Linked DNA regions of Bombyx mori. The protein of the gene in region 1 interacts with the protein of each later gene in a pairwise test. Links are inferred from orthologs where the notes say so. Each region holds a gene or a part of one and is shown in the gene's direction. Other genes may lie near its edges. The genes, in order: histone-lysine N-methyltransferase E(z), histone deacetylase complex subunit SAP18 and histone deacetylase HDAC1.

Region 1 (4,219 bases):
GAGCTCATGGGGCTCAGCTTGAGAAAATTTTGCTAATATTTGCCCTAGCAGGAGCTGTGTTTCGCTGAATCTACCACCAGATCGAATTCGCAAACCACTAAAAAGACCGGTGGCGAGATACTCAGTGGCCTTCTGGTATTAAGAAAATCCAATAACAGATTATGACGGGATATTTAAAGTATGAATTATATATAACACGTACTTATTGTCGAGAACAAAACATAATGTTTGAAAGTAAAATGAAGACTAAAGTAAAATAATATTTTATTTCTTCTTCTTCTTCTTCTTTTTCTTCACCTTATCCCACTAAGTAGGGTCGGCACAGCTAATTTTTCTCTTCCATTCTCTTCTATCAGCCGTCAGCTCAACACTTACTCCTTTCACTCTCGTATTGTCATTCACACACTCCATCCATGTCTTCTTCGATCGGCTTCTTCCCCTCTACTAAAATAATATTTTATTTGGCTAAAAGAAACGTGTTATTAGCTTTTATTTATTTAAAAAAAAAACACTTTACGTCCGCAACTGATTAAGACGTACGTGTAAGATGTAATTATAGTAATGCTAATTTGATACAACAACAACTACAAGCATCCGAAAAATAAAAATAAAAGAAAGATAGCTAAATTGGAGCGGCACAGCATGTTAACTCTTTGTCCCCACCAACTACTTCTCGGAATTGGTTCATACAGGGACATTCACCGTATCTTCGATCAAAATTCGTCTGTGGTTTTAGTAGGAAAGGGGGGGATTGAAGTGGTGTGAATTGCTTTATTTTGTTAACTTAGTGTATCTTCACGCTTAAAACTGTTCAGTATCTGTAAAAGTGCAAAAATATACAAAAATTAAACAAAGGCACTGATCGTAGTTTCTCAGATTCTTCCAAAAAGTATTTTTTTTTTTTATTGCCTTTGTAGGCAGTCGGGCATACGGCCCACCTGATGGTGAGTGGTTACCGTCGCCCATGGACTTCAGCAATGCCAGGGGCAGAGCCAAGCCGCTGCCTACCGAAAAACCTATTGAATAAGTTACAGTAAATAACTACCATTTTATTGCGAACGAATTTTATCACATCTTATTTCGTTGGATTTCATTCAATCCCATTTAATTAAAGTCTCATAATAATCATGTTGTTGCAAATTTTTTTAACCTATGAATAAAATATAAGTATTCGCTTAACGATCTCGGTTACCAGGCCATAGTATCTTAAAAAAAGCCATTACAAAAGATTCTAAATAAATGAATTACCTAAACACTTCGATCAAAAATAGTGTTGATCGAAGCCTAAGCAAGTGTATATTTATGTTATCTATGGCCAATGGGTTTGACCTAAAGGTTTTAAATACCAGGTCATAAAATCGCAAAAAAATAAATATGTCTATGGGTATCAGCGTTGCCAAATGTACGGCAATTGCCGTTTCGTACGGCAATCATGCTTCTAAAAGACAAATTGTACGGCATACGGCAGAGTGGTCATTGCCGTATTCTAAAATACGGCAACAAGAGCATAAAGCTAAAAAAACAATTAATGTATCTAAAGTGATTACAGAACGTGAATACTTTTTGCGTAAACATAAGCGCATCCAACTCTTGTAATAGACAATGTTTTATGTTTGGTACGGGGAATTCCCTACAACCTACAACGCCTGCTCTTCGAGTCGTCTCCTCAAGTCGCCTCGCCGCCTCGCTCTTGTGTCATTGTTTGTACTAGCAAGTGTAGCTTCATTTTGACATTTGAAAAAGTGCAGTGTAGTGATACATGAGTTAATGTATAAAATGTGTATAAAAAGAATCTTCAGTGCAGTAAATCTAATCAAAACAAAACAAAGAAACCGCCTCTTAACATCTACCATAAATGGAACAATATTAGCAAATAGTACTGTACGAGCTTTAAGCCAACCCCCGAAATGATCAATAAATGAAAAAAAACCCATCAAATTACGGAAAAGATCAGATTATTGAAACTGAACTTACTTTAGGCAATAATACAGATTTGATGAGAAGAGAGGAGTGAAAAATATGTATTATTTTAATTTCATCCTAGAAATAAATAATAATAAACTTTGAATTACTTTGTACGGCAATTTTTGTTTAAATACGGTAGATTTTTTTCTCCAGTACGGCAACCCAATGTTGGCCCAGCGGCAACACTGATGGGTATAGCTCTAAGGTGTAAGTTTGTAAAATGTGAATAGCCGAATTAAAATATTTTGAAAATGAGTAAATCGAAAGTATCAGCTGAATGGAAGAAGAGAGTTAAGTCAGAGTACATGCGGCTTCGACAAGTAAAGGTAACTCAGAATGACAATATTGAAGTTTACGATATATGAATCTGGATATGAATGTAATGTAAATTTTTTTAGCGTTTCAAACGCGCTGATGAAGTGAAAGTAGCATGGGCGCGCAATTTGCAAATAATGTCCGAAGCTATAGAGATGCCTGAGGCGGAAACTACGGATCGTACTAAACGGCCCTTCTGGCCCCCGCCGGCGCCTACATCGAGCCATGAGAGCCTTATGAAGAGGGCCGAAGTTACCTATACAGACGGTAAATCTTAACTTTGCCCTTACTTAACCATGTAGTGTTCATTAAATGCAAATCCGCGCAAGTGGGTACCACCATGCTACCTCATGATGCGAAGCAGTCGTGTGTTCCGGTTTTAATGATTGGATCCTCGCTGTATTTTGTTTTATGGTGGGTAGCTTCATCGCGTCGTGGTTTCCTGTAGCCACCAAAGAAACAGTGATCCTCTTAGCTGTTAAAATTGTTTTGCATTTCTGAAATTTTAGGGTGGGCACCACAACTCCGTAATCCAATTTCAGAAGGAAAATAATTTAAAAGTCCCACAAGCAATTGCAACCCATAATTTGAAAAAATAATATCATTTGTATCTTACCTTACCTACAAGCAAGGGCGGATACAGCTTTGGCGCCAGGAGGGGGTCACATAGTCAAATTTAGATGCGTTCGTTCCCAAACGTTTGCCATTATACAAAGTTATTATATTATATTAAATTAATTAAATATTGAAGGTATGTAGTTACATAAAATCTGTATGGTGACAAAATATATATAAAAAAAATCATTATATTCAATTAGTGGTCCACCTAAGTCCTGGAACCAGCTCATGGGGTGGTCATGACCCCCATGACCCCCCCCCCCCTCTGGATCCGCCATTGCCTACAAGTCTTGTCTACATCAATTAAGATAGACTATATCGACTGCAAGCCTATTAATTGACTTTTCTATTATCAATTCTTATCAACTGCTGTCTTATTAATCACATTTTCTGTCAGCACTTATCAACCAATAGCCCATAAATTGGTTAGAGGCTATTAGCTTTTAACAGTTTCTGTCACTGGGATTAATTAAACTCCTAACCTCTTTGCATTTTTGAGTTTCAATAAAATGTGTGTGTGACTAGCCCTGTCTTGATTTAGTGGCAAGCTCAACCACAACAGGCCAATAGAGTGTTGAACTGCTAAATATGTTCCACTGTCCTGTACTGTAAACATAATGTTTTAGCCTTATCGCAGTAATGTACACCATATAAAAAACAAAAAAGTTCCAGAGTTGCTAAGTAGTTTTTTAAGAATTGCAAAATTTTGTTGCAGTGTTATCAGCAACAAAATTAACTATTCTATGCACTCAAAACATTTTTCTCTAATGAACTAAACTTAATAACAAAAAAGTTTCTAATTCCCATTTACTTTGACGTACAACCCAAAATACTCAACCCTTCTGAACTGCTGATTCCATATGGTGTTCCTTTTCGGTTTTTTTTTCATGAAAGACATAGACTTAGTTTTTCATATTGAGAGCAAAACAGTTTAGAGGACTTCCTACTACTTACTGAATTAAAATATTTTGCAGGTTCAGGTGTAGTGACAACCCAACAGGTACCAATAAGAATAATCAACTCTGTGAATCCAATTCCGACGATGTATACATGGGCTCCAACACAGAAAAATTTTATGGTAGAAGATGAGACTGTTCTGCACAACATTCCATACATGGGAGACGAGGTCCTGGATCAGGATGGTACATTCATCGAGGAGCTAATAAAGAACTACGACGGGAAAGTGCATGGTACATCGGCTTTCATGTCATTACTATAAATGTGGACTGGGCCAGTTTTGTTGAAAAATGATCTTTGTTTCTTACAAATAGTGAAAAAGATGTCTTCCTTGAAAAACAAACCTTAATAATATTCTCTTTAG
Region 2 (3,127 bases), on another chromosome or scaffold:
TGAAGTTGTGTGATTTGTTTTATTTTGTCTAGTTAGTGTTTCTTCAGATTTAAATGTGTAATAGCGGTGGTTTATTAACTGTTTAGTATCTGTGAAAGTGCACAAATTTGGGAAAATAAAACAAAGCCACTGAACGTAACTTCTCGGGATCTTCCAAAAAGTCCACTGAAAAAGTCTCAGTAAATGACCACCATTTTACTGAGATTATGCTTCATCCCATATCATCTCATCTCATGTCATTTCATTTCGTTTTCATTTCACTTTAGGTTTCATTATAATCAACTTCATTTTATTTCATAATATCATTTTCATTTAAAAAAGTTACGTATCATTAAAATTAAAATAATACTTGACCTAAAGGTCTTAGTTACCAGGTCATAAAAGCCCTTCAAAAAAAAAATCATTTATCATCAGAAATTGTTTAAAGGTACCGTAAAATGGGGCGATTAGGGACAAATTCCAACTTTATGATCAATTTTAAGGTAGTTGTTGATGTATATAATGCTATATCAGGATCAAAATGATTGAGTCTTGGGGGCATCTTTGTTGTCTAATTTAAAATTATGGAACTAGCATTCCAGTTTAAGCAAAAAATGCAAAAATAGGTGTAATCCCTATTTACCCGAAAATTGCGGTTAATTGGGACGAAATGAGAAATTTGCTAGGGTTGGCACTACTTTTATTTTTATATATAGTTTTAATTTATTTATTTATTTAGTTGCACCAACAAAGTGATCATCAATAAAAAAAATTGAAAAACTGACAAAAGTACATGGCAGACATCACCTCAATTATAGGTGCAATCGACAGTGCTGATATTTCTATCTGGGTTAAGAGATTAGGTGTGTCGGTTATTCCATGGATTAATCAGATGAATACCCCCACTCTGAACAAATATTAAATATTTTATTATGTATTACTTAGACATTTTTGTCCACCTTGAGATTTCATTGATCTTGTTACATGTCTCTCCAAAATTGACTTACTTATATTAAATTGCTTATCTATTTCAAATAAAGACTTATTCCCAATTTCGCTTCGAATAAACCAGATTTTTACCAACAAATTTAAAAAATATTGTTATAACTACATAGACAACCCTACAAACCTGTACCTATTTATACTTAGTTCGTTTCCATTTCACGTATTCTCATCCCAATTGACCCCTTTTTCGTTGTTATTTGTACCTAAGCCGTCCCCAATATCCCCAAAACAACAGATTTTTACATGTATTTTTATTTAATCAAATACATTAAAACCAATAACAACTGAGACTTACCTTTAATATATATGCTGGTTCAAACACTAAATAACGTTTATAAATCATAGTCGTTTTCTATTATTATCAAATAAATAAAAGAGAGCAAAGTTTCTAGCACTAAAATAATTACCACCACAGGAAGTTAATTTGAAACGCGATTTTTTATAAGTTAGCAGCTATTATCATGCATATTCAGAGTTGTTTTGTGAACTTTCAACATTCTACTATTAAACTACAAAAAATGGAAGATTTTGCAACGAATATAAAACTTATATTGAGCGTCGAAAGATTTTCCCAGTTTTTTCCCGATTCGCCTCTCAATCCCTAATCGCCCCATTTTACCGGTACATGTATTTAAAGACTCGCATAATTTAAATAATTACTTAAGTTGGAAAAATTAAGTAGGACCACAATTCTCCAAATATTATGAAAATGGCGGGATTAGAATCAATGGTAGTTGAAGAAATTAAACCGACAGAAAAACCGGTGGACAGAGAAAAGGTACTTTGTTAAACAATATAATTGATTATTTTTTACTATAAACAGCATTTACTTTAAATTAATGTTCGCCAACTGATTTTAATTTGACCATAATAATCAACAGAACATTCAAATCCGTTGTGTCTACTAAAGCACTCTGTTCTTTTTTGTTTCGTAATTGACATTTTTTCTTGTAAATGTGAGATATAAAGTAACAATCTATTTGTTTTCGATAACACTAAAGCTCGTTCATTAGGATTATAAATAAAACACAATAATTGAATTGACAGAGGAGGAAATTTGTTATGCTTTTTCCTGATTATATAGAGATATAAATTTAACCTAAAATGTTTCAGACCTGTCCTCTATTGCTCCGTGTGTTTTGTTCAACTGGCCGACATAATTCTCCTGGAGACTATGTTAGAGGAAACGTACCTCAGAATGAATTACAAATATATACATGGATGGATGCTACACTGCGAGAACTTACAGGACTTGTAAAAGAAGTTAATCCTGAGACGAGACGGAAAGGCACATACTTTGATTTTGCCATTGTGTATCCTGATATGCGTTCCCCTACATATCGTATGAGGGAAATAGGAGTTACATGTTCCGGACAGAGAGGAGGCGATGATAACAAGACACTTTCACAACTGAAATTTCAAATTGGGAACTATCTAGACATCTCAATAACACCCCCAAACAGAATGCCACCACCAATGAGGCGTCCACAACCATATATTAATAATCGTCAGTACTGATAATTAAGTTTAATAAAAGAATGTGTATCAACTGTGTTCTTTCACTTGATTTAAAGGGTGAAGTTGGATTTCATTAAATTACTATTATAAAGGGGAACACCCACTCTCCATAGTGTTCTGGGCCCAAGATGGACATCAAATATTACTATAAAAATGGACTGTTTCTTAAATATATTGGATATCTAAAAAATATATTGAAATTGACACCACTATTATAAAAATAAAATAAAATAAAAAAATCGTTTTGAGGTTTATTTTCTATATAAATAAGTGTTGGATTATGAGTTACTTCAAGAACTTTTCTTTTATTAATGTTTAATTTATTAATTATGATAAGGGAGATGTTCCTAATGTAATTTTATCCAATTGTAGTTATTAGGGTATAAAAAACACATGTTTTTCTAAATATCTATGTTTTCTTCATCTTCATACACAATTAATAAATCATCTAAAAATAGCGCAGGAGGGCATATCCACGGTTATGAGTCTCGTTCAGTTTAAAACCACAATTCACACTATGTCTTAGTCGTAGTATGAAACATTATTGATCGGTATCCATAATCGAATGTAGCTGTGATCTTTAACTCCTGAGCCAAAGTCGTCGTTGAAGGGAGGATAAAATCCA
Region 3 (3,740 bases), about 6.5 Mb from region 1:
TCATAAATATGGAGAATATTTTCCTGGAACAGGTGATTACATTACTTATTTCTATTTAAACTTGTTCAAAACATTAAAGTTTATTTGAGTAATATTGAATGATTAGCACAAAGATATTTGTACCTTTTTATCACATGAAACTGAGAAAGATAAGTAATTGCAGCACTGCATTTGTTACCTTGTACATACAGCGCTGACTGTACACTCTACATCTAAAAGGTGTGTACACAATTTTACAATGATTGTACATTTTTCTGATCTAACAAAAGAGTAATATGACTCATTTAAAAACTGCTACTGGGAGAAAAAAATTAAATTATCTCGAAGATATCTCATCTCATCTTGGGGTTTTCCTATAAAGATTTTATATATGGCAATAATTGATTATCATAATATTACAGGTGATTTGCGGGACATTGGTGCTGGTAAAGGCAAATACTATGCTGTAAATATACCCCTTCGTGATGGAATGGATGATGAGTCATATGAGTCTATCTTTGTTCCCATTATATCTAAAGTTATGGAGACATTCCAACCAAGTGCTGTAGTACTACAGTGTGGTGCTGATTCTCTGACAGGTAACTATAATAACTCTAACTTTATAACTCTTGTGTCACTTTTTATTTGTCCAAGCTATTTGCTTAATCTAATTTTTTATGAAATTGAATTGATTCTGAATGTCGTAAAATCACTCATACCAATTAATAACTAAATAATAAAAATTTAGTTAATTACTGTAACTAAAATACCTATTTTTATTATACAAGGTGACAGATTGGGTTGTTTCAACTTGACTGTTCGAGGTCATGGACGCTGTGTAGAACTTGTCAAGAGGTTTGGACTTCCATTCTTACTAGTCGGCGGAGGCGGGTAAGTTGTTTTAAATATAAGACTATGTTTCACTTTTAGATAGAAACTGAATCATTATCTTTACTACTTAAGATATTTAAATTACTAGGTCAAAATAATGTAATCTCTTAATTTTTTCACAACAACTAGACTATTTTCTTTAACCATCTTTTCATTGCTTCATGTGTAATAAATTTCACAGATATACCATACGTAATGTATCTCGCTGTTGGACTTACGAGACATCTGTTGCACTTGGTGTGGAAATAGCCAATGAACTACCATATAATGACTACTTTGAGTACTTTGGGCCCGATTTCAAACTACACATATCACCAAGTAACATGTCCAATCAAAACACACCCGAATATCTGGAAAAGATAAAAAATAGACTGTTCGAGAATCTCAGAATGCTCCCACATGCGCCAGGAGTACAAGTAAGTGTTTTCCAAATTACTACATGACTAGATAAAGTTCTGATTACGATTGTTAGTTTTAACGTGTTTCCGATATTTCGCCGCTGCTGCAAACGCCATGTGGTAGGATGTTCGGAATAGATACATCTATCTCTCTAGTACTTTTTCAGTTGTTACCTAAGTTTTTCTTGTCCAATAATAATAATCAATCAAATAATAAGCAAGATTCGTAAGCGGGGTCTCTTAGTACAGGCTTGCACGCTTAAAAGGAGACCCCAATCATTGTATTATTTTAACTCGCTTTTGAAAATAAAGTAGTTTTGTATTTTGTAATTTTTTTTGTAGGCATATTTTTTTACGTTGTTTACTTTTTAAAACATCACTAAAATTCTTTATTCCTCTAGGTGCAAGCCATACCTGAAGATGCTGTCAATGATGAGTCAGATGATGAAGATAAAATAGACAAAGATGAGAGATTACCACAGAGTGATAAGGTATGATTTAAAAGTGGATTTAATCACACAGTGTTTTCCAGTAAGCCCAATTTTAAATATGCGTTTAAATATTTAGTAAAAATATTAATTATTTATTTGGGTGAACTAATTAGTTTTGTTATACATGGCTTTGAGGATAAAATATTGAACAAGAATAAACCCATAACACATTTATTCAGTTAAATATCAAAATTACAGATAGTTAAAATCTCAAAAAAATTTGCAGAATGTTATTCCAAACTCACTAGTATCTAATATGCACAAGTATTCACTCTTTTTCATTAATATTATTTTGCAAAATTCCCTTTGAATCCCTTGTAACTTTTTACTGTATTTATTTTCGTTGGTTTCAATTCGGTTCTTAAATCCAATATCAGTATCGAGTTCGAATGAGCTTTACAATTCACTAAACGTTCCTCGCACGATACAATATGTTTTCGTTATTTTTGTTTCCACTATTTGTGAGTGCTTTTCGTGGTTAAGAGATAGATCTCGTTGCCGCGTGCTGCATTTGTAACAGTACCGTAGATTGGGGGAATCGGGACCCTTTCCAAATCCAGCACAAGTTTTCAATGGTTTTTCTTAGGGTTAATACCAATAAAATTGAGATTAAAATGGTTCCGGAGGCTTAAATTTGTGATGAGTTATTATACATAGTTCATAACAAAATATACACAAAATCTGAAAAAACTAGCTTGACCCCATTCACCTTGGCTTTGGGGTGAATCATATTACGTATGGGGACAATACAGTTTTTCGATAGGGCTGGCACTATTAAGCTGTTAGGTAGGTACCTAACTTTAGGTAATTAATTTTTAATATCTTTAATGAGTTAAAAAACTATGATGACTAAATTAAACTATTTAATATTCTAAAAAAACTAAATAAAAGTAATTTTCAGTTCAACAAAGTTAAATCTAACTCAACTCAACAAAAGTATTGTGACATCCCAGATTTGTCCCTATTCGAACTTTAGTCTCTATTCCCCCCAATTTACTGTAAGATATTTCTACAGTCTGCTCTAAGTGGTGTGCGACATTGCGACCAAGCAAGATTTTGTAGTAACAAGATTTGAATGTGATACGCAAAACAGGACAAGCGCATCGCTAACGACGGCGAGCTGTCGGACTCCGAGGACGAGGGCGACGGGCGACGCGACAACCGAGCCTACCGCGCGCCGCAGCGCAAGCGTCCGCGACTCGACAAGGAACCCTTGCAGATCAAGGACGATCTTAAACGTACGTACACACATCACGTAAAACAGCGATCGGGGAAACTTTTTTATTATTACCCCAAAATATTTTTGTGTAAGTTAATATTACCCCATGGCGAAGAACAAAAAGAAAGTAATCGCTTCTTTTTAGTATCTTTCATATTATAGCCCCCATGATAATTTTAAAAAGAAAACAATAACTAAAAATTTAACGTTTCTAAAGAAGATTCACTTCAATATATACTTTTTACTCACAAAAGTTTCATTTTTACCCTCCAAAATTTAATTTTACCCTATTTGGGGTAATTTGCCCCGGTTCCCCGACCGCTGACTTAAAACATCATCGTACACACATCAAATCGAATAAGATAGCCGTTATTTTCAATGCTCTCGTGAAATAAGAAATATTGCTCGCATTGTGATCGTCGTAACAGAAAGTTTATTAATAGTTGAACACCAGGTGGTTCCCGAGATCGTATAGCGGCTACGCCATTGAAATAAACAAATGATTTATAATGCTTTAAAGATATATTTTAAGTCTTCGTGACCTAAAGGACAAGAAGTACTGGTATCGAGCGATGAGTCTGTGCTGGTGTTCAAACTGCCCTAACATGTACCAATTAATTTGTCTAATGAGATATGTACTTAACATTACTGGTGGTAGGGACCTCTTGTGAGTCCTAATGGGTAGGTTCCACTCCGCCTATTTCTACCGTGAAGCAGCAATGCGTTTCGGTTTGAAGGGTGGGGTAGTCGTTATAACTATAC

What was found.
Region 2: the proteins of histone-lysine N-methyltransferase E(z) (region 1) and histone deacetylase complex subunit SAP18 interact in binary tests that used the Drosophila melanogaster proteins (3 or more experiments, as listed by UniProt). The link is inferred for Bombyx mori from reciprocal best matches to the Drosophila melanogaster genes E(z) and Bin1.
Region 3: the proteins of histone-lysine N-methyltransferase E(z) (region 1) and histone deacetylase HDAC1 interact in binary tests that used the Drosophila melanogaster proteins (3 or more experiments, as listed by UniProt). The link is inferred for Bombyx mori from reciprocal best matches to the Drosophila melanogaster genes E(z) and HDAC1.

The regions. Positions count from the first base shown.
Region 1 is NC_085117.1:20,094,587-20,098,805, reverse strand, and holds the start of histone-lysine N-methyltransferase E(z), read left to right. Parts: upstream 1-1,419; 5' UTR 1,420-2,216; coding exon 2,217-2,291; intron 2,292-2,363; coding exon 2,364-2,547; intron 2,548-3,872; coding exon 3,873-4,088; intron 4,089-4,219. UniProt on the Drosophila melanogaster protein: Polycomb group (PcG) protein. Catalytic subunit of the Esc/E(z) complex, which methylates 'Lys-9' and 'Lys-27' of histone H3, leading to transcriptional repression of the affected target gene.
Region 2 is NC_085129.1:7,373,214-7,376,340, reverse strand, and holds histone deacetylase complex subunit SAP18, read left to right. Parts: upstream 1-1,439; 5' UTR 1,440-1,687; coding exon 1,688-1,762; intron 1,763-2,097; coding exon 2,098-2,502; 3' UTR 2,503-2,533; downstream 2,534-3,127. UniProt on the Drosophila melanogaster protein: Involved in the tethering of the SIN3 complex to core histone proteins. Interacts with bicoid (bcd) to repress transcription of bicoid target genes in the anterior tip of the embryo; a process known as retraction.
Region 3 is NC_085117.1:13,607,585-13,611,324, reverse strand, and holds part of histone deacetylase HDAC1, read left to right. Parts: coding exon 1-32; intron 33-401; coding exon 402-578; intron 579-767; coding exon 768-870; intron 871-1,051; coding exon 1,052-1,286; intron 1,287-1,669; coding exon 1,670-1,759; intron 1,760-2,852; coding exon 2,853-2,997; intron 2,998-3,740. UniProt on the Drosophila melanogaster protein: Catalyzes the deacetylation of lysine residues on the N-terminal part of the core histones (H2A, H2B, H3 and H4).